3 linked regions of the Danio rerio genome follow. The protein of the gene in region 2 purifies or fractionates together with the protein of the main gene of each other region. This does not show direct contact. Links are inferred from orthologs where the notes say so. Each region holds a gene or a part of one and is shown on either strand. Other genes may lie near its edges.

The links.
Region 1: the proteins of lrrk2 (region 2) and ncl purify together in Homo sapiens (co-immunoprecipitation; 3 studies listed by BioGRID and IntAct, with this or other methods). This does not show direct contact. The link is inferred for Danio rerio from reciprocal best matches to the Homo sapiens genes LRRK2 and NCL.
Region 3: the proteins of lrrk2 (region 2) and actb1 purify together in Homo sapiens (affinity purification with mass spectrometry; 3 studies listed by BioGRID and IntAct, with this or other methods). This does not show direct contact. The link is inferred for Danio rerio from reciprocal best matches to the Homo sapiens genes LRRK2 and ACTG1.

The regions. Positions count from the first base shown.
Region 1 is NC_133197.1:38,757,535-38,764,217, reverse strand, and holds the start of ncl (nucleolin), read left to right. Parts: upstream 1-2,647; 5' UTR 2,648-2,781; coding exon 2,782-2,799; intron 2,800-5,561; coding exon 5,562-5,666; intron 5,667-5,746; coding exon 5,747-5,870; intron 5,871-5,966; coding exon 5,967-6,083; intron 6,084-6,439; coding exon 6,440-6,579; coding exon of another isoform or gene 6,580-6,580; intron 6,581-6,656; coding exon 6,657-6,683. Other genes in the region: trim35-34 (tripartite motif containing 35-34), read right to left, coding at 1-383. UniProt on the Homo sapiens protein: Nucleolin is the major nucleolar protein of growing eukaryotic cells. It is found associated with intranucleolar chromatin and pre-ribosomal particles. It induces chromatin decondensation by binding to histone H1.
Region 2 is NC_133200.1:38,201,230-38,207,139, forward strand, and holds part of lrrk2 (leucine-rich repeat serine/threonine-protein kinase 2), read right to left. Parts: intron 5,886-5,910; coding exon 5,739-5,885; intron 4,930-5,738; coding exon 4,817-4,929; intron 4,736-4,816; coding exon 4,545-4,735; intron 4,162-4,544; coding exon 4,001-4,161; intron 3,753-4,000; coding exon 3,582-3,752; intron 2,481-3,581; coding exon 2,380-2,480; intron 1,741-2,379; coding exon 1,528-1,740; intron 600-1,527; coding exon 406-599; intron 329-405; coding exon 256-328; intron 1-255. UniProt on the Homo sapiens protein: Serine/threonine-protein kinase which phosphorylates a broad range of proteins involved in multiple processes such as neuronal plasticity, innate immunity, autophagy, and vesicle trafficking.
Region 3 is NC_133176.1:10,080,793-10,087,361, reverse strand, and holds actb1 (actin, cytoplasmic 1), read left to right. Parts: upstream 1-2,533; 5' UTR 2,534-2,632; intron 2,633-3,600; 5' UTR 3,601-3,602; coding exon 3,603-3,725; intron 3,726-4,124; coding exon 4,125-4,364; intron 4,365-4,675; coding exon 4,676-5,114; intron 5,115-5,200; coding exon 5,201-5,382; intron 5,383-5,464; coding exon 5,465-5,608; 3' UTR 5,609-6,109; downstream 6,110-6,569. UniProt on the Homo sapiens protein: Actins are highly conserved proteins that are involved in various types of cell motility and are ubiquitously expressed in all eukaryotic cells.

The sequences.
Region 1 (6,683 bases), on a different chromosome or scaffold from region 2:
ACCATTTCACTGATGGGTCTGAATGTGTGTTTGAGGTGTTTCTCTGAATCTCTGCACACTAAACACACAGGCTGTTTGTCCTTTACACAGTAGAGTCTTCGTTTCTTACCGTGTAAACTGCAGATCTCCTCAGATCTTGATGAATGTCTCTTATTTCTCTTTTTCAGATGCGACTCACACAAGTTTTGTAAAGCCAGATTAACTGGAGGATCAGCTATTGAGGATCTTGTCCTGCAGACGGGACACTCCTGAGTATTCTCGCTTCTCCAACACTGCTGAAGACACTCTTGACAGAAACTGTGGCCACATGATAATATAACTGGAGTCTTGAAGATATCCTGACACACAGGACATGTGTAATCATCTTTAGCTGATGAAGCCATTTTGAAATCCACTAGTTTTAACTTTACTTCCACTACTTGAATGCTTAAAAGGAAAAACAAATTAAGTGTGCGATCCGCTGTGTGAAATCTAGATGAAGGTCTGCTTGAATGGAACAAGTGGGAGTCTCTTTCTGGTGAGCGTTTCAGTGGGCGGAGCCGTTGGGTTCAGTGTGTGTGTGTGTGTGTGTGTGTGTGTAGGGTGGTTCATATAAAGCACGCGTAAGTTACTCAAAGATGTGATTTCAGAGTTTGCATGCACACAAAAATATCAGTATGTTCATATTTCTTAACAATCTCTACACGGAAGAAAAAAAAAAAAACACGGAAAAGTGCAGCTCTGAGAAGATGAAGAATCAGGGTCTGGGAAGACGTTTTAGCATGATTGACATTGGCATCATCCAATCGGCAGGTAGCGCCGTCTTTTTTAAAAGCCTGATTGGTTGATGCTTGGGATGCCTCACGTGTGATTGTTTATATTTAAATTTACAAAATAAAAAAAATAAGTTTTCTTGTAAATATATTTTTGATATACAACAATAATAATAATAAAACTTTCGAGCAAATTTGTAAAATAAATTTCATGATTATATATAAGAAGTGCCATATAGACGAATTACCATGTTTGCAAACAACAAGGTACCAGAAGAAAAAAAAAACGGGAGCGCTAGCATTTACAGCGAGGCACAGAGTTTGTTTTTGTCTAAGAAATAAGTTATATTGACAACATACGTATATATATATATATATATATATATATATATATATATATATATATATATATATATATATATATATATATATATATATATATATACATATATATATATATAAATAAATAAATATATATGTATATATATATATATATATATAAAATTTACATAATGCTTTTAGCGTATTATAACAGCTCGTCACCCAGTGATAAGCACAGTGATTCTGTAAAATTAACGTTAAAGTGAGTGACATACCAGTTCATACTGACAATATACTGATCCACATTAGAAACATGACATGCCTTGCAATGACACACACACACACACACACACACACACACACACACACACACACACACACACACACACACACACACACACACACAGACACACACACATATATATATATATATATATATATATATATATATATATATATATATATATATATATATATATATATATATATATATATGGTAATGACATACCAATATATACTAATCATACTTGAAACATACTCAGAACACCTTAGCAACCACCTAGCAACCACTCAAAACACCTTAGCAACCACCTAGCAACACCTTAGAAATGACCTAGCAACTGCTAGCAACATCTTAGTAACCACCTGAAACACCTGAAACACCCTAGCAACCACCTAGCAATGCCTTGCAATGACACACACACACACACACACATATATATATATGGCAATGCTTTAGCAACCACTCAGAATTCCCAGGCAACACCTTAGCAACGGCCTAGCAACCAATCAGAGCATGCTAGCAACCACCTAGCAACACATAAGCAACGAGCTAGATCATCTATAGCAACCACCTAACACCTCCTTAGCAACCACTCAGAACACATCAACCGACTAGCAACATCTTAGTAACCACCTAGAACACCCTAGCAACTGCCTAGAAACACCTTAGCTACCGCCTAGCAAAACCTTAGCAACCACTCAGAACACATAAGCAACCACCTAGCAACGTCTTAGAAACCACCTGGAACACCCTAACAACTTCCTAGTAATGCCTTAGCAACAACTCAGAAGTCCCAGGCAACACCTTAGCAACCGCCTAGCAATGCCTTAGCAACTACTTATTAACACCTTAGCAACCACTCAGAACACCCTAACAACTGGCTAGCAACACCTTAGCAACCAATCAGAACAACCAAACAACTGAGTTGCAATGCCTTGCCAACTGCATAGCAACCACTGAGAACCCCTAGCAACATACCAAACTATATTGGAAACATGCTAATCTTTTGATAACTGTTTCAAACTTAAAACACTTCAGTTATTTAAACTTCACACTTTCAGACTCGGCTTTCTCAAGAGACCAAGTTTGTCTACGAACTTTAAATTTCTAGTTCATTCATTCATTCATTCATTCATTCATTCATTCATTCATACTGTTCAATGAGCGCAAAAAAATCAGAAAAAAACTGTTCAAAAGAACCGAATGGAGATAACGAGTCTGAACAGCAGCGACTCGGTTCACATTGAGCTTCGTGAACGCGCATATGGTAAACGTCATGGGTGTAGTGGGCGGGGTTTTTCAGGACGTACTAAAAGCGTATCGAGCGCTCTTTTCTGTCCTGTAGAGAGAAACACGTGTGACTGAACGGTTCTTACCATCTCTCTCTTTCAGTTATCAGCTTTACTGTAAAAACAGCCCTCAGTCATGGTAAAGCTCGCTAAGGTAAGATATTACCGTCAATCCGTTATTGTCGCTTTAAATGCAGCACGGATCTCAAAATGCGTATTTTCCTGTTTTTATTTTTACATTTGGCGAGAAGGCCCATGTGTGTGAGTTATATTTAGTTTAACATATATAATATTCGTCGGAATGTAAGGTTAAATATTCAAATACTTATTTAAGGATCAGTATTGACGGCTAAAATGAGCTAGCGTGTGTTTTCTGCTTTTCCTGTTTGTGAAGGTAACATGGCCGACCACGCTTCTGCATTTGCAGGCCTCAACAAACACGCATGATGAACATGCGTGGTGAATTTTAAGAAGACTCGTTTTGTGATGTTGTAAAAACAAATTGCGTTGATTAATAAACCCTGGGGAGGTGTTAATGTGTCGTGGATTTAGCTCCAAGGCATTTGTTCGCCATGCGTGGAAAGTAGCTAAATGCTAAACGCCTCCATTTTGGCTCTCTGTAGTGAATGTGGGGGCATTTAACACGTATAAGACCGTGCACTAAACACAATTGCGTTTTAACTCGTGTTTCACTGTTTATATGAGTCAAGTATGTAAATGCGGCACGAAATTTAATTTAATTACGTTATTTCTACTTCGCTGTAGGGTTAACGTGTGTTTTCCACGTGTTACGTTCAACCCACGTGGGATGATCCACGCGGGGAGTTTCGCGAGCAGTACTTTACTTTTTGAGTACTTTGTTACAGATCCATACTTAAGAAATATTCATTAACAGTCATAATTTTATTTTAGTTTATTATTTGTATAAGTACATTATTTACATTAAGTCATGCACTTAATAGTCAAATTTTAAAAGGTTGTACCACGAATGAATTATATGCAAAATCTCCAATAACACGTGTTACACCTTTAGTGATTGAAAGGTAAAAATGTTGGATTTTAGGAACCAATCTAAATATTTTAATTGGTGTTGTGCCAGTCTTGTATTTATCTTTTTTTTTTTTTTTTTTTTTTTTTTTGCACATTTGTCTTATAAATGTATTAATACTAAAGATGAAAAGTTTTAGATGAGAATTCAGATTTTTATGCGAAATCTTACGCTTGTTTATGCAAGATTGTGTTTGTGTTTTAAACATGCACAAGTTACCTGTGAACTTAATGAATGCCAAGTCTTGTTAAATGTACACAAGTCAACATTTGAGGATGGTTAAGACCTTTCATTGGTCAACTATGTCTGTCTTGAGACAACTTGGGTGTACTTTTTTTTTTCCCCCCCTAGATGTTTAGTTTATTTGACCCTTTCATAGCCCTAACTGCAAGAGCTAAGGGGGATGTGCGATTTGGAGAAAATGTCTTGATTGCAATTTTTGTTTTGACAGATTTTTTTGATTTGAGTCAAGATTCAGCTCAGTCTGTTTCACTGCATAGATATGATTATTATTATATATGTTATTATATATTAATAATATTAATTTCACCATTTATTCAAATTAGTTGTTAAATATTCAGAAATTGAAATCATTTTTCGCTTGAGCAAACAGTAAGATAAAAAAAATTACCTTTCCTTTTTGTGCATCAGCTCAAAGTAAGGAGATGATGTAGCTTATTTAAGGTATCTGCAGAATTGTAAAGTTTTAAAATTAAATATATATGAATTTTAGGCCTTAAAGTCTTTAATCCGCTGCACTATTGTGTTGTAGGTCTTAATTTTAAACTGGTCTTAATTTTCCTCTGTAAAGCTATACCCAATCAGGACAGCACCCGTCTAATAACTAACATTATATTTCATAAGTTTAAAAAAAACATCATTTACACTATTTGCATATTAATATGGTTTTATTTATCTTTGCAAAAACATTTGTTTTTAATGATATGGTTTTAACTTGGCCATTAAAAAATCTTTAGTGTTTAGCCTTGTGCAAGTCTGAATTGGTCTTAAATTTGACTTGCTGGAACTTGTAGACACCTTGTTATTATACTTACAATAATATAATAATTGTGAAAGTACACTCCGCAAATTAATGAGACCGATAAGAGGCAGATTGAAAAGTTCTGATTGGGCAGAACGAAAGTGTGCTCACTCAATCGGCTAGTAAGACTTGACATTTGCTCTGAGTGTGGGACATTAAGTACATATTCTACATCGTAGTGCATTAAATCAGAATAATTGTCACTGATTTAAGTGAACATTTGTATAAAAATTCATGTAGGGTTTTTTTTTTCATTAATATATATATAATGACATTTGAGATTTCAAGTGTGAAAAGATTAATAATGGATCATGCTATAAACATGGTGACATTCAGAATTTTGTATTCTTGTCAGCTTTACCAATTGTAAGTTTCTAATTCAATGCAATATGGTTTCAGCTATGACTGTTTATGAAGTATGAACGCTGAGCATACAGATGTATTAAATTTATTGCACTTTTAAAGCTTTATATAGCCTAAACAAGAGTAGCCACACCTCATGATCTCCAAACAAATGCTGAAGTGAAAGCGTTCGAATGCATCAAGATTGAATGTGTCATTGATTGAAGCTTAAACTATATGCTGTCATTTCTGCATAATGGCATCTAGCTAATTTATAAAGGGTGGAACTCGTGTTTAATACATGCACAAGTGCTAAAACAATCTGTTAAATCTTTCTTGCACCGCAGGACTGAAACTGAAACTGAAACCATTTGAGGTTTCTGTTGACTAAATGTGCAAAGCTTTGACTGTCTAGTTGCTAAATCAATTTCTAATCGCACAAATCAACATTTAAATTAATATTTTCATTGCTTGTTTGTTACAGGCAGCTAAAAAAGATGCGCCGCCGAAGAAAAAGGCACCTCCACCTCCTAAAGAAGTGGAAGAGGAATCCAGCGAGGAGGACAGTGATGACGATGAGGAAGAAGAGGTGAGGAGGCTGACAAATAATGCGCTTTATTTTTTTCCTGTTGCTATTGAAAGGTATTTAATGAACTGTGTATTCGGCAGGCACCACCAGTCAAAGCTGTAGCGAAGAAAAACGCGGCTCCTGTGAAGGCAGTGAAAAACGGAAAAGCTGCTGCCAAACAGGAGAGTGAGGATGAAGATGACGACGATGAAGATGATGAATCTGGTTAGCAAAGTTTTCAGTCGTGCATTTTTATTTTATTTTTTTTATTCCTTTGAGTCTGAAGGTCAGGTGTAATTTGCATTGACTTGTACTTCACAGAAGAGGAAGCTCCGCCTCCAAAGAAGGCCGCTAAAGCTCCAGCTAAAGCAGCAGCTCCTGCAAAGAAAGCAGCTCCTGCTGAAGAGTCCAGTGAAGAGGATGACGACGATGATGATGGTATGAAAACTATCTGCCTAGATGTTTATTAGATCAGCAGTTTTAAAGGGATAGTTCACAGTTATTAAATGACTCATTTACTCTCCCTCAAGTGGTTCCTAACCTGATTGACTTTTCTGAACACTGAAGATGATAGCCATTGACTTCCATAGTACAAAAAACAAACTAAGAAGATCAATGGTTACTGGTGTACAAGATGTTTCAATTTCTTTTTATTAGGCAAAGGGTGTGAAATTGATTGCATTTTTTGGGTGGTCTATTACCAAGGAAATTAAATGCATTATCAATTTTAATGAATTTAACCCTTTAGGCATGATTAAAATGTATTACTTTTATATAATCTTCTGTATTTCTAGATGATGAATCCGAGGAAGAGGCTCCACCTCCCAAGAAGGCTCCTGCCAAAGCTACACCAGCTAAAGCCACACCAGCCAAGAAAGCAGCTCCCGTGAAGAAAGCAGCTCCTGCTGAGGAGTCTGAGGATGACGATGATGATGGTATGTAATATTCTGGTTTTAAGTGAAATCAAATGCACAATGCGTCATCTAAATCAATGTCTTTGCTTCCATTTGCGAAGATGAATCTGAAGAGGAAGAAGCT
Region 2 (5,910 bases):
AGTTTGCATGTTCTCCTCGTGTTGGTGTGGGTCCAAACACATGCGCTATAGAGGAATTAACTAAATTGGCCGTAGTGTATGAGTGTGTAAATAGGTGTGTATAGGTGTTTCCTAGTACTTGGAAGGGCATCCACTGTGTAAAACATATGCTGGAGTAATTGTCAGTTCATTCCGCTGTGGCGACCCCAGATTAATAAAGGGACTAAGCCGAAAAGGAAATGAATGATTGAACATTGCAAAACAATGATTCAATACCTTCAGGGCTGAATCTTCATAAATGACCAGTGTCCCGTCTGCTGTGCCCACCAAAAGATAACTCTTCAGACATCTGCAGACAAAAATAAGCATCATTTTTTCAATTTAAGCTAGATCAACCAAGCGTGTGTCACAAGCAGATTTATTAACCTGTGCTGGAGCTCGGTGTGAAAGTACAGAGACGTCACAGAGTCCTTCACACTCTTCAGACGGTGCAGGACTTTCGCATTAATGGTGTCCATGATAAAGAGCGAACCGGACTCTGAACCAGCCACTAGCCAGTCACTGCACGAGTCTGCAGCTCTGATGATCACCATGCAGAGGATAGGGCTGCGGTCCAGCTCCTGAAACACAGCATTAGGAACAGTACACTGTTATAGTAAATAGCTGGCTAAATGATGCACATTTCTAGCATGAATTAGCACAATATAGTTTATATAATAAACATGTCAGGAAGCATTAGCCATGTGTTAAAACATGCTAGAAACATGGCTATTGCCTCCTAAAATGTTTGTAACATTCTATTTGGATTCATTAAGATGTTGCTAACATGATTAAGACTATGATAATGTGAATTAGCATGTTATAGCAAGTCTTAACATGCTAATATGCTTAAGCATTCTGCTAGCATGTTTTAACACATAACTAATATGCTTTAACGTTCTGTTAACATGTTTTAAAATATTATGAACATACTTTAACATTCTGTTAGCATGCTTCAACACATAATGAATATGCTTTAGCATTCTGTTAGCATGTTAACACATAATGAATATGCTTTAACATTCTGTTAGCATGTTTTAACATACCAAATATGCTTTAGCATTCTGTTAGCATGTTTTAACACATGCTAACAGAATGCTAAAGCATATTTGGTATGTTAAAACATGCTAACAGAATGTTAAAGCATATTCATTATGTGTTAACATGCTAACAGAATGCTAAAGCATATTTGGTATGTTAAAACATGCTAACAGAATGTTAAAGCATATTCATTATGTGTTAAAACATGCTAACAGAATGCTAAAGCATATTCATTGTGTTAAAACATGCTAACAGAATGCTAAAGCATATTCATTATGTTTTAACACAATGAATATGCTTTAGCATTCTGTTAGCATGCTTTTAAAAAATGGGAGGAGCTACTCTATGCCCCGCCCTCGATTCATGTTTCGTTTAAGATTGTCAAACATCGAATAAAAAAAAAAAAGTTCACATGTCAAAGCACGGGACCTTTAAATCTTGATGCAATAAATCTGCATGTTTTAGCACCTGGTTCAAACTCCCGCCGGTCTCCAGATCCACCGCAGTCACACAGCCCAGTTTCTGGCTGCTGCTGCCACCACCGATCCACACATGAGGGTTTTTACCTCCGTTTGCAGCTCCGCCTGAATTGGACACGACAAAACACTCGCCTGGAAAACCCACAACATTCAGCTCTCGCATCAGACACAACATCTCTGCAGAGTTCAGACGATCAAACACCTGAAACACATTTACAGTTAAAGTAAGAATATTATCCCCTCTGTATATCGTTTTCCCCAATTTCTGTTTAATGTATAGATTTTTCAGCACATTTCTAATCATAAGTTTTAATAACTCATCTCTAATAACTGACTAATTTTATCTTTGTCATGACGACTGCACATATTATTACACTAGATATTCATCTAGATGATTGTATTCAGCTTAAAGTGACATTTAAAGGCTTCACTAGGGTAATTGGGGTAAAGTTAGGGTAATTAGGCAAGTCATTGTATAACAGTGGTTTATTCTGGAGACAATCCAACACTAATATTGCTTAAGGGGGTGAATAATATTGACCTTAAAATGCCTTTACAACAATTAAAAACTGCTTTTATTCTAGCCTAAATAAAACAATTAAGAAGAAAAAAATATTATAGGAATTACTGTGAAAAATTCTTGAATCTGTTCAACATCATTTGGGAAATATTGGAAAAGGAACAAAATAATTTACAGGACAGCGAATCATTTTGACTTCAACACTACATAAAAACTACAACATGACTTTCAAGAGAAGGTGGAGGTCGGTGTTTGGGATGGTGTGGGAATATAATAGTAGTAATACTCCTAATATGATGGTAGTGTAAACCCAAGTCTCACCTGAGCAGACGTCGGCCTGTCCTGGGGGTTTTCTCTCATACATTCCCTCATGAGAGACTCAATCTCAGGCCATGGAGAACAGCCGTAATCCTTCACTGGATCTACACAACAGGTTATTTTAAGACAATTTTCTAATGAATAGGCATAGTAAAATAACAACAACAACAACAACAATAATAATAATAATAATAATAATAATAATAATAATAACAGGGATAGCATAATAGATTTAGTATAACAACAGGTATAGGGATAACATAATAGGTATAGTATAATAATAATAATAATAATAATAATAATGATAGGGATAGCATAATAACAGGTATAGGGATAATATATGATAGGGATGGTATAATAATAATAGGGATAGTATAGTAATAGGGATAGTAAAATAGGGATTGGGATAGTATAATAATGGTAGGGATAGTATAATAGGAACAGTATAATAAGAATAGGGATAATTCACCCCAAAAATAAAATGCTGTCACCATTTACTCTTCCTTCACTTGTTAAAGTTTGTTTTGAGTTTCATGTTTCTGCAAAACACAAGTTTAGCGGTAACTTCAGCGTTAAGCTCAATAAGGAGACTCAAAGATTTACTCACCCTTTACTTGTTCCAAACCTTTATTTTTGGGTGAACTATTGCTTTAATGCAGTGCTAACTGGCAAACATCTCACAGCATGATCGAGCATATAAAATGTATTTGTTTACATCTTGCTTTCAGGGGTCAGTAAGCCCCTCCCCCTTCCATAAGCCAACTCCGCTCTCATTGGTCAGCAAACCAAAGTCTCAGTTGATTGGTCTGTTTTATCCTGTGTCGAAAAGTAAACTAATATTTTTAGTGTTGATGTCGCGAAAGGTGGAGACTATGCAAATATGACTCCATTCTCTTTTCAAAAGAGGGCGGAGCTACAGATGCCTGTGTGTCATTAGCATAGGACGTCAGTCTTGTTTTTGAATCTGCCACTGCTCTGAGGGAGAGATGGGTACTTTAGGGGGCGGGTCTTTCCCCCTCTGATTGACATTCTCCCTTTGTATGATGTCAAAGCATTTCTGCAGTTATCAAGTCTGATATTAACAAATACAATAAATACTATTTTACAATTAGAAGCTGGTTATTTTCACACACTGCTGACACACAACTGTGTTTAACCCCCTAATTTAATATCATGTGGGCGTCTCGCCTCAAACTGAGCATTACCTGGTAGTTTGCCCTGCACGGCCACTTCATCGAACTCACTGGGAAACTTCATGCCATCTGAGATGCGCTCGCCGTATGTTAACAGATCATACAGCAGCAGACCGAACGAATAAACATCCGCCTGGACGTTGTAGATGACGTTTCCTCGAGCCACCTCCGGGGCTCGAAAACCTGCGCAAGATCAAGACTCAAAATCACAACACAGGTAAAAATCCTCAGTGCAAGTGTCCATTTTAAACCTTCAAAATTCTCTCCATCAATAGGCTTACAGCTGAAGGCAAAATTAAACATTCATATTATATTTCCCAAGTGATGTTTAACAGATGCTTTTTCAATGCTTATTTTTTCTTTATTTCTTTCAGTTTGGCTGAAATAAAAGCATTTATCTTAAAGGAGGATTATGGGTAAATGAGCGAGACCTGGTGTTCCTTCAGAGCTGCGGACGCCCATGCTGCAGCAGTACTGCGCGATGCCATAGTCTGTGATTTTAGCGACGATCTCAGCGTCCGTCTTCAGGTTGAACAGCAGAACGTTGTGCGGCTTCAGGTCTCGGTAGATGATCATAGATGAGTGCAAATATCTGTTCGGAAACAAAACGAGTCACAGATACCGTCCTATAGGTTGACATTGAACTGAGAAGATTTATTTAAAATGGCTGCGTGTAAGAATTGTGTATTAAATGCTTTTTTTTATTGCCAACGTGTCCTTTGTCGACTTTCTAGGTTTTTATCTTTATATAAAAAGGACATTTTTGCTAGGGAAAACAAGCATGTCACACATAATAGCAGTAAACGATGGTATTAAACTACTGGAACTACTTTCCCATTATGTTAATAAAAAAACACAAATGTAAGGCTCCAGTTCACTTAATGGCCACCGGTGTCGCTATAGTCACAAAAGTTTATCGGATTTCTACATTTAGTCTCTTTAAAAGGTGATTAATGCGTTTTGAAGTGCACCTACTTGAGACCATCAGCCACATGTAGTGCAATCCTGTGCTGTAATTTGCGACTTAAGCTGCCATTTTCACGCTCAAACAGCGAGTCCAGAGAGCCATACGGAGCCAACTCCATCACAAGTATATGTGGGTTACAACCAGCAGCCAAAAGACCCACCAAACTAGGATGACACAGTCTGCCGAGTACTGCCAGTTCCTGGAGATGGATCAGGAAGATGCATCAGTAACAATGTAGCAATAGTGGCGGACACACCAAGGTTCCTGCTGCATAACTCACCTGTCGTACCAGCCGGTGAACGTACAGCGCAGACGCATGTTTATTAAAAATCTTGACCGCAACTTCTTCATTCTTGTAGACAGCTTTATAAACCGAGCCAAAACCTCCATCCCCTTCAGTATAAAAACACACTGTTACTTTCGATCCACATTGCCTTCATGCTTGTCAGCTATTGGTAGATCATTGGAACTTATAGAATTTTGGTCATACGCCCACCCCTATATTCATATCATAACTATGTGGTGAAATATAGTATTTAAATAGGTGGTTATTCCAGAAAAAAACAAAAACAAAACAAGGTTATATTGCATAACTTCTTTCTTTTATGTGGATCATTTGTTTTCTTTATTTGTTATTAATGTTAAACTGCAGCCACTGAGTAAACGTCTAATAGGGGCAGGCACTATGACCCAGCAGGAGGCTGCTTTAAGAGTTTTATTGTAAAGGCTTAAATATAGCAGATGTTAAAAAGTCAAAAAAAAAAAAAAAAAAAAAAAAAAAAAAAAACACATTTTTCATATTCACAAAAATATTAAACATGACTTTTTTTTTTTTACATAACTTCACATTAGTTTTGTATTTTACGTTCATTTTCCAAGTCTAATCTGAATTATTAGTGTAACAGGGTAGGCATTAGGACCTGGGGGGCTGATTAACTTAGAGGGATATTGTACACCTAGTTATTCTGTACTTATATTCAGAGCAGTAGTAAGTCCAAAACGGTTACTGTACATCACAGGTGAAAGTTCCTGAGCTGACTATTACGAGCACTCCACTGTATGAGAGTTAGCCACGCCCACTTATATTACATAGTGTAATTTACAGAATATAAAAACATTTACTACAGTTGACAGTTTATTCGAAGGTAACAATATATGTGGTCATACTGCCCAGCCCTATATGGATGTTTGCATGAACTGACCCAACATATACTCTGCAGTGAGCTCCATCTCCAGCTGCTCTGGGTCCAGTATGGTGCTGGATGGCTGGTCACTCAGTACCAGGTCTGGAGAAATCTGAGAGATGGGTAAAGTACAGCTGGGGTCCTCGGGGTTCACCAGTAGACCATCTAACAGACAAGTAAGCAGTTAGAA
Region 3 (6,569 bases), on a different chromosome or scaffold from region 2:
TTGAGGAAAGCTAAAAACCTGTAGCCTAACCATTGACTTGCATAGTAGGAAAAAAATAGAAACCTTTTCAGATTTCCTCTACAGCTAAAAAGAAACTCCCCTCCACCCTAAACACCAAGCTGAAACTCACACACCTAGGAAAGAATGGGCCCGGTATCAGGAATGTAGAGCACTTTGTGAAATAATCATGAGGCAATAAACTGTACCTATGACTCATTGACCTCTGTGATGAAGTTTATCTTTTCTATAAGGCTCAGTGAGTTATAGGTATGACATTTGGATTCTATAGGTAGTCAAAATTCAATATTTACATCACTGCACGCCTAGGATGTGGGGGTGGGCAGATGTATTGGGTGTCACTGCTGTTGGAAGCATCATTACAGACATTTTCTGATGACAAGCTGCTTTCGTCACTAGATAAATCACACAACAGACTGTTTATCAAGTGGTGACATAGCCCTACTGACATTTCAATAACCATAGCTCCTAAAGATTTTAACATTAAATGCACAATTTAGTCCTCTTTTTGGTTTCATGCTGACAAGATAAGACAAGAATTGCAAAGCCCCCTGGATAAGGCATGCTGCCACGCGTCTCAGATTGCCCATGCTAAAGGCAGGACATTATAACTGGCATTAACATCTATTTATGACCCCATGGCCTCCTAAAAAACCCGAATAGGTAAAGGATTTACATATTTCAATGTAAATTCATATCAAATCGATCTGGGACCTTGTTTAGCCAAAATAAACGCTGTGTAGTATTTTGGTTTCTTTCATGATAGCATTTGTTGCTAATAGTCCCTACACATTTATCAATGTAAACTAGTCTTTGCTTCAAAACATCAGCATTTAACATTTAAGAATGGGCAGATTAGGGAGTGGGCAGATGTATTAGGTGTCATCCTGGTGACGTTTTAACAGCCATTGCTCCTTACGATTTTAACATTAAATGCACAATTTAGTCCCCTTTTTGGTTTCATGCTGATAAGATAAGAATTGCAAAGCACCATGGATAGGGCGTGCTGCCACGCGTCTCAGATTGCCCAAGCTGAAGGCAGGACATTTAAAACTGGGATTAACACCTATTTATGACCCCTTGGTTCCTCTGAAAAACCGGAATATGCTAAAGAATTTACATATTTTCAATGAAAAGTCATATTAAATCAATTTGGGATCTCGTTTAGCCTAAATAGGAACCCTTTCTAGTATTTTTTTTTCCTTGAAGCCATTAGCCTAGCCTATCAGTGTCACATTACTTTATCGAATGTAAACTAAACAGTCTGTGCTTCAAAACATTCACGACATATAGTGTTATTCAATAGTTTATATTATCAGTCTTTTTAAGTAACAGGGTATGTAGGCTGATTTTTTTTGTGCACTCTTCAGATTCCAGTAATGCAGCAGCGTGAAGCGTCATCGGTTTATGACGTAATTACGCAAAAGCCGGCTTGACAGGAAGTGTTGTTTTCTATGGAGCACCGTGCCCTTGTTTTGTATCCCCTGCTTTGCAGATAACCAGATAAAATGAAATATGCTTAATACGGTTGCATCTAACATGCCGAGCGGCGATGTAACAGACGCCGATCTGAGCAACAACAAAACAATAGTCAATATTTCATTAATTTCCGAATGACTCCTGATCTTCTGCAGCTTTACATCCATGATATTATAAACAGCAAAGCATTATGCACAAAAGCAACCTACGATTGAATTAAACAGTGCAATGTTCACAAATAAAGCCTTTTTTAAATATGCTTTTACATTATGTTTTATAGAGTCACGAGAAGTACCTGTACTTTAAATGGGAGCCACGCCCACGTTGTTCATCAAACTAACCTAATAAAATGACACACTTAAAATGTCTTCTCAAGAATTAATCGTAAATGAGTCGTTTTCAACTAGCTGTCAAACATTAACTGAAATGTAAAGCAGATTAGTGTATAACGTTAATCAAATAATGATTTCTTCTCTGTTCTACCAATAATGGCTCTTGTATAACGTTAGTTTACACATTGTTGTCATTTATAGAGCTGAAACATACAGTAAAATACAATATAAGTTTAAATACTATTGGACAATGTCGTACTGCTATGTTTAAACGTCCTGTCATTCCTGCAGCCTAAGTACAGCTTATATAAATGCAACTTTACATCATGCATTGCTCGTTTTTCACAGAAATAATAAACTATTTAACGTTACTCGCTGTATGTGAGGTTATTTAAAAGTAACGTTAAGCCACAGACATGAAGTCTAGCATCCTTTACTGATTTAACTGTGTTCCAATCCAAATGATATACATATCCTTAATTCAAGTGTTACATCTGCCAATGCTGTGTCAAATCAACTTATCGTGTATTTCCTTATCAAATTATTTCGCCTTTTCGCCGATCCCTGACATACATTATTTCAACCCAGAACTTGAATTTCAAGCAACTAGCTTGAAACTCGCCAAGTGGACGACGGCTGGCCAATCAGACCGCTCGCTGCCGAAAGTTTACCTTATATGGAAGGAGCCGGCCGCAGTGCCGGCTATAAAGCTGTGACCCACCTCACGCTCAGCATTGTGAGTTTTCAGTGCACGCTGAGAAGATCTTCACTCCCCTTGTTCACAATAACCTACTAATACACAGGTGAGAATGCTTTTATATTAATATTTACTGGTATTTGGAATAATTTAGTAATGCTTATGATGATTATTGGAGATTTATTTATTAAAGCTATATTTCATTTTGCTTGCTGATCGGATTTGAATTGAAGTCTTGGTCCTGTCTGCCTAAATATGTACTTTGCTGTTGATTTTTACAACGCTGAATAAGTTATGCTGATTTTTGTGCTTGTGTTTTATTAATGGTTTTAACCGGTAGCAGTTCCAGCTTTCAAAGCTAACGTTAGAGTAATACAACTGTAAAGCCTTCTACATAAAGCGATTTATTAAATTCATATTTGGTAGTAAATTGATTTTTAATGTAAGGTTTAATTTAAATGTGGATTTATTAATCAACGTTAACGTTAGTATCATCAACGGCAGTGTTCGCAGTTTGAATGGTGGGTGTGGCTACTATAACGCATTAACCGGTATCACTGCCGTTTAATTCGTGTGCACGGTCAAATATATATAAAAGCTTTTAAAGTTTCTTGTTTGTCTGTAACGTTGTTGGGATTTCATAAACTTGTCAGTCACACACGAAGTTAAAGATTATTGCAGCACTTCTAGTTCGTTAAAGTTAAGTTACTCTTTCTGTTGAAATGGCTTCGTTTTATTTCCTTTTCAAAAGACAAGAGCGTGTTTTAGTGAGCACCGGGATTTCACTCGTGGCGTTGTAAAGCGCTTATCTCGGCCTTTGAGACCGGGAGGGAGTGGTCGCGTCCGTTGGTCTGATTCCACGCGCTGAATCGGCGGCATTGAGCTGCTCTAACTTATTGCCATATAAGGCAATAGTGAGGCTGCCTGGCCACTTCCTTTGTCTCAAATCTCTTGGTTTCAACCCTGCGCCTTTGCGCCGCCTACTGGCCAGACGTCACAAATCCATCAGTCATCACCGCCTATAAAAGACACTACCCATTCATATTTTAACAGTTTCGCTTTTTTTCCCTACAGCCATGGATGAGGAAATCGCTGCCCTGGTCGTTGACAACGGCTCCGGTATGTGCAAAGCCGGTTTTGCTGGAGATGATGCCCCTCGTGCTGTTTTCCCCTCCATTGTTGGACGACCCAGACATCAGGTACATTTAATAAACCATCCTAATAACATGTTAATCATATTGAACCACATTAAACTCTCATTTGTGCATTTTACATCTTTTAAAATCGATTTATATTCGTTTTTAGATAATGAAGTTTATTAAAGTGTTAATTCACAGCTTTATTGCCTGTTTTGAGAATCTGCTTGCATAAGTGATTTTTAAACTTGATCTGATTCTCGTTTGTTTCGAAGTTCTTCAGCTTTGAAAGTCAGATCTAATAAAAGTTAATTTAAGCGTTCATTACAATAAATTCAAGTGAATCTGTTTTAAGCTAACCTTCAACGTTTTTAAATTCCTTCAAACAAATTGGTTCCTCTTTGCAGTTCCTCATTTCTCGGTGAGCTGGTGCTTTAATCCCTTTACTTTTTCTTCCTCTAGGGAGTGATGGTTGGCATGGGACAGAAAGACTCCTATGTGGGAGATGAGGCCCAGAGCAAGAGAGGTATCCTGACCCTCAAATACCCCATTGAGCACGGTATTGTGACTAACTGGGATGACATGGAGAAGATCTGGCATCACACCTTCTACAATGAGCTCCGTGTTGCCCCTGAGGAGCACCCTGTGCTGCTCACTGAGGCTCCCCTGAATCCCAAAGCCAACAGAGAGAAGATGACACAGGTGTGTTCCTGTGATCAATTTGATTTTCATATTGCCTTATTTGGCTTTCTTCCCCTCTTTGTTCACTTCCTTTCTGTCCATTTCCTCTTAGGCTCTGTCACTTGCCATGATCTCTTGATAGGAGGTTCAAAAGGTTCATCCCTATTTTTTCATTCCTTTTCCCCCTCTTGCATGGTAGCTTCTAACCTTAACTCTCCACAGTTGAGCGTTTTAGCATGGTGTGTTGGAGGCTTTCTTGCCCTGTTGTGCACCCATACTCACGCAGATTTGAGGCTCTGAGTTTGGTTTTTAACCAATTATCTCTTCTACAGATCATGTTCGAGACCTTCAACACCCCTGCCATGTATGTGGCCATCCAGGCTGTGCTCTCTCTGTACGCTTCTGGTCGTACTACTGGTATTGTGATGGACTCTGGTGATGGTGTGACCCACACCGTGCCCATCTATGAGGGTTACGCTCTTCCCCATGCCATCCTGCGTCTGGATCTGGCTGGTCGTGACCTGACAGACTACCTGATGAAGATCCTGACCGAGCGTGGCTACAGCTTCACCACCACGGCCGAAAGAGAAATTGTCCGTGACATCAAGGAGAAGCTGTGCTACGTGGCCCTGGACTTTGAGCAGGAGATGGGAACCGCTGCCTCCTCTTCCTCCCTGGAGAAGAGCTATGAGCTGCCTGACGGTCAGGTCATCACCATTGGCAATGAGCGTTTCCGTTGCCCCGAGGCTCTCTTCCAGCCTTCCTTCCTGGGTGAGTTCCTTGCCATGCATTTAAACTGATCTCCCTTTCAAAAGTGATCCTTCAACAGTGACTAACGTTTGCTTTTATTGGTGCAGGTATGGAATCTTGCGGTATCCATGAGACCACCTTCAACTCCATCATGAAGTGCGACGTGGACATCCGTAAGGACCTGTATGCCAACACAGTGCTGTCTGGAGGTACCACCATGTACCCTGGCATTGCTGACCGTATGCAGAAGGAGATCACCTCTCTTGCTCCTTCCACCATGAAGATCAAGGTGATGCACCTGCCCATTTTCACTTTCATAGCAGTTTGCTTGCAGTGATTTCAGATGAGCTAACGTCCCCTTTCTCTTGTAGATCATTGCTCCCCCTGAGCGTAAATACTCCGTCTGGATCGGTGGCTCCATCTTGGCCTCCCTGTCCACCTTCCAGCAGATGTGGATCAGCAAGCAGGAGTACGATGAGTCTGGCCCATCCATCGTCCACAGGAAGTGCTTCTAAACAGAACTGTTGCCACCTTAAAATGGCCATGCAATGAGATTCAAACGAACGACCAACCTAAACCTCTCGAACAAGATGACATCAGCATGGCTTCTGCTCTGTATGGCGCATTGACTCAGGATGCGGAAACTGGAAAGGGAGGTAGTTGTCTAACAGGGGGAGGAGCTTTCCCCGAGAGGACTTCAATGTACATTTCTTTTAGTCATTCCAGAAGCGTTTACCACTTTGCCCTCCTCACAATGGGCGTCCATGACCTTTTTGTTATAGTGTTTATGTAAATTATGTACTCGATACATTGTTTTTCTTTTTGTACTTCAGCCTTAAACTTGGCCCAGTTTGTTATTGTTGCAATGAGGGGAAAGCTTTACCTTTTAAAAAGTGAAGATCTTGCAGGACTTCCCTAGGGTATGTGAATAAGGGATGTCCCTTGAAAATGTAAGCCAGGGTGTCTCTGTACACTGACAAGTCAACCCAAATAAAACGTGCACATGTAAAACCACACAATGTCTACTGTCCTTAGTTGTCCAAACTCTTGTTTTAAAGTGAAGCTGTGTCTGTAACTGTACTCCAGTCTTTTTCTTTGGATGCAAATTCACAGTGGCATCTTTAAATCCTGTCAGTATATCATGATTTTTAAAGTACAGGCCAGTGTTAAGTTACAGTGCCAAGTAGCATCTCTTCTAGATTATTACAGTTACCAATGCAAGAAGCTTCTAACTAAAATTTACTTACTCGAGCAGCTTTACAGTACAAGTGTTTTGTATAGACTTGCTCAAAGGAGTTGCCAGTTTTAGGTTCATCAATTTGACTTGAGTTTAAGTGCAAAAGCAAATTTGAAGTTTGCTTTATCAAAGGTCCAGTAAATGCACTTAAGTAGTCTGTTACTTTACAATAGCTACGAGCACTTTGAGTCAAGATGGATAAGCAAAATGACTATACATGGCTCCTGATCAAATCAAAA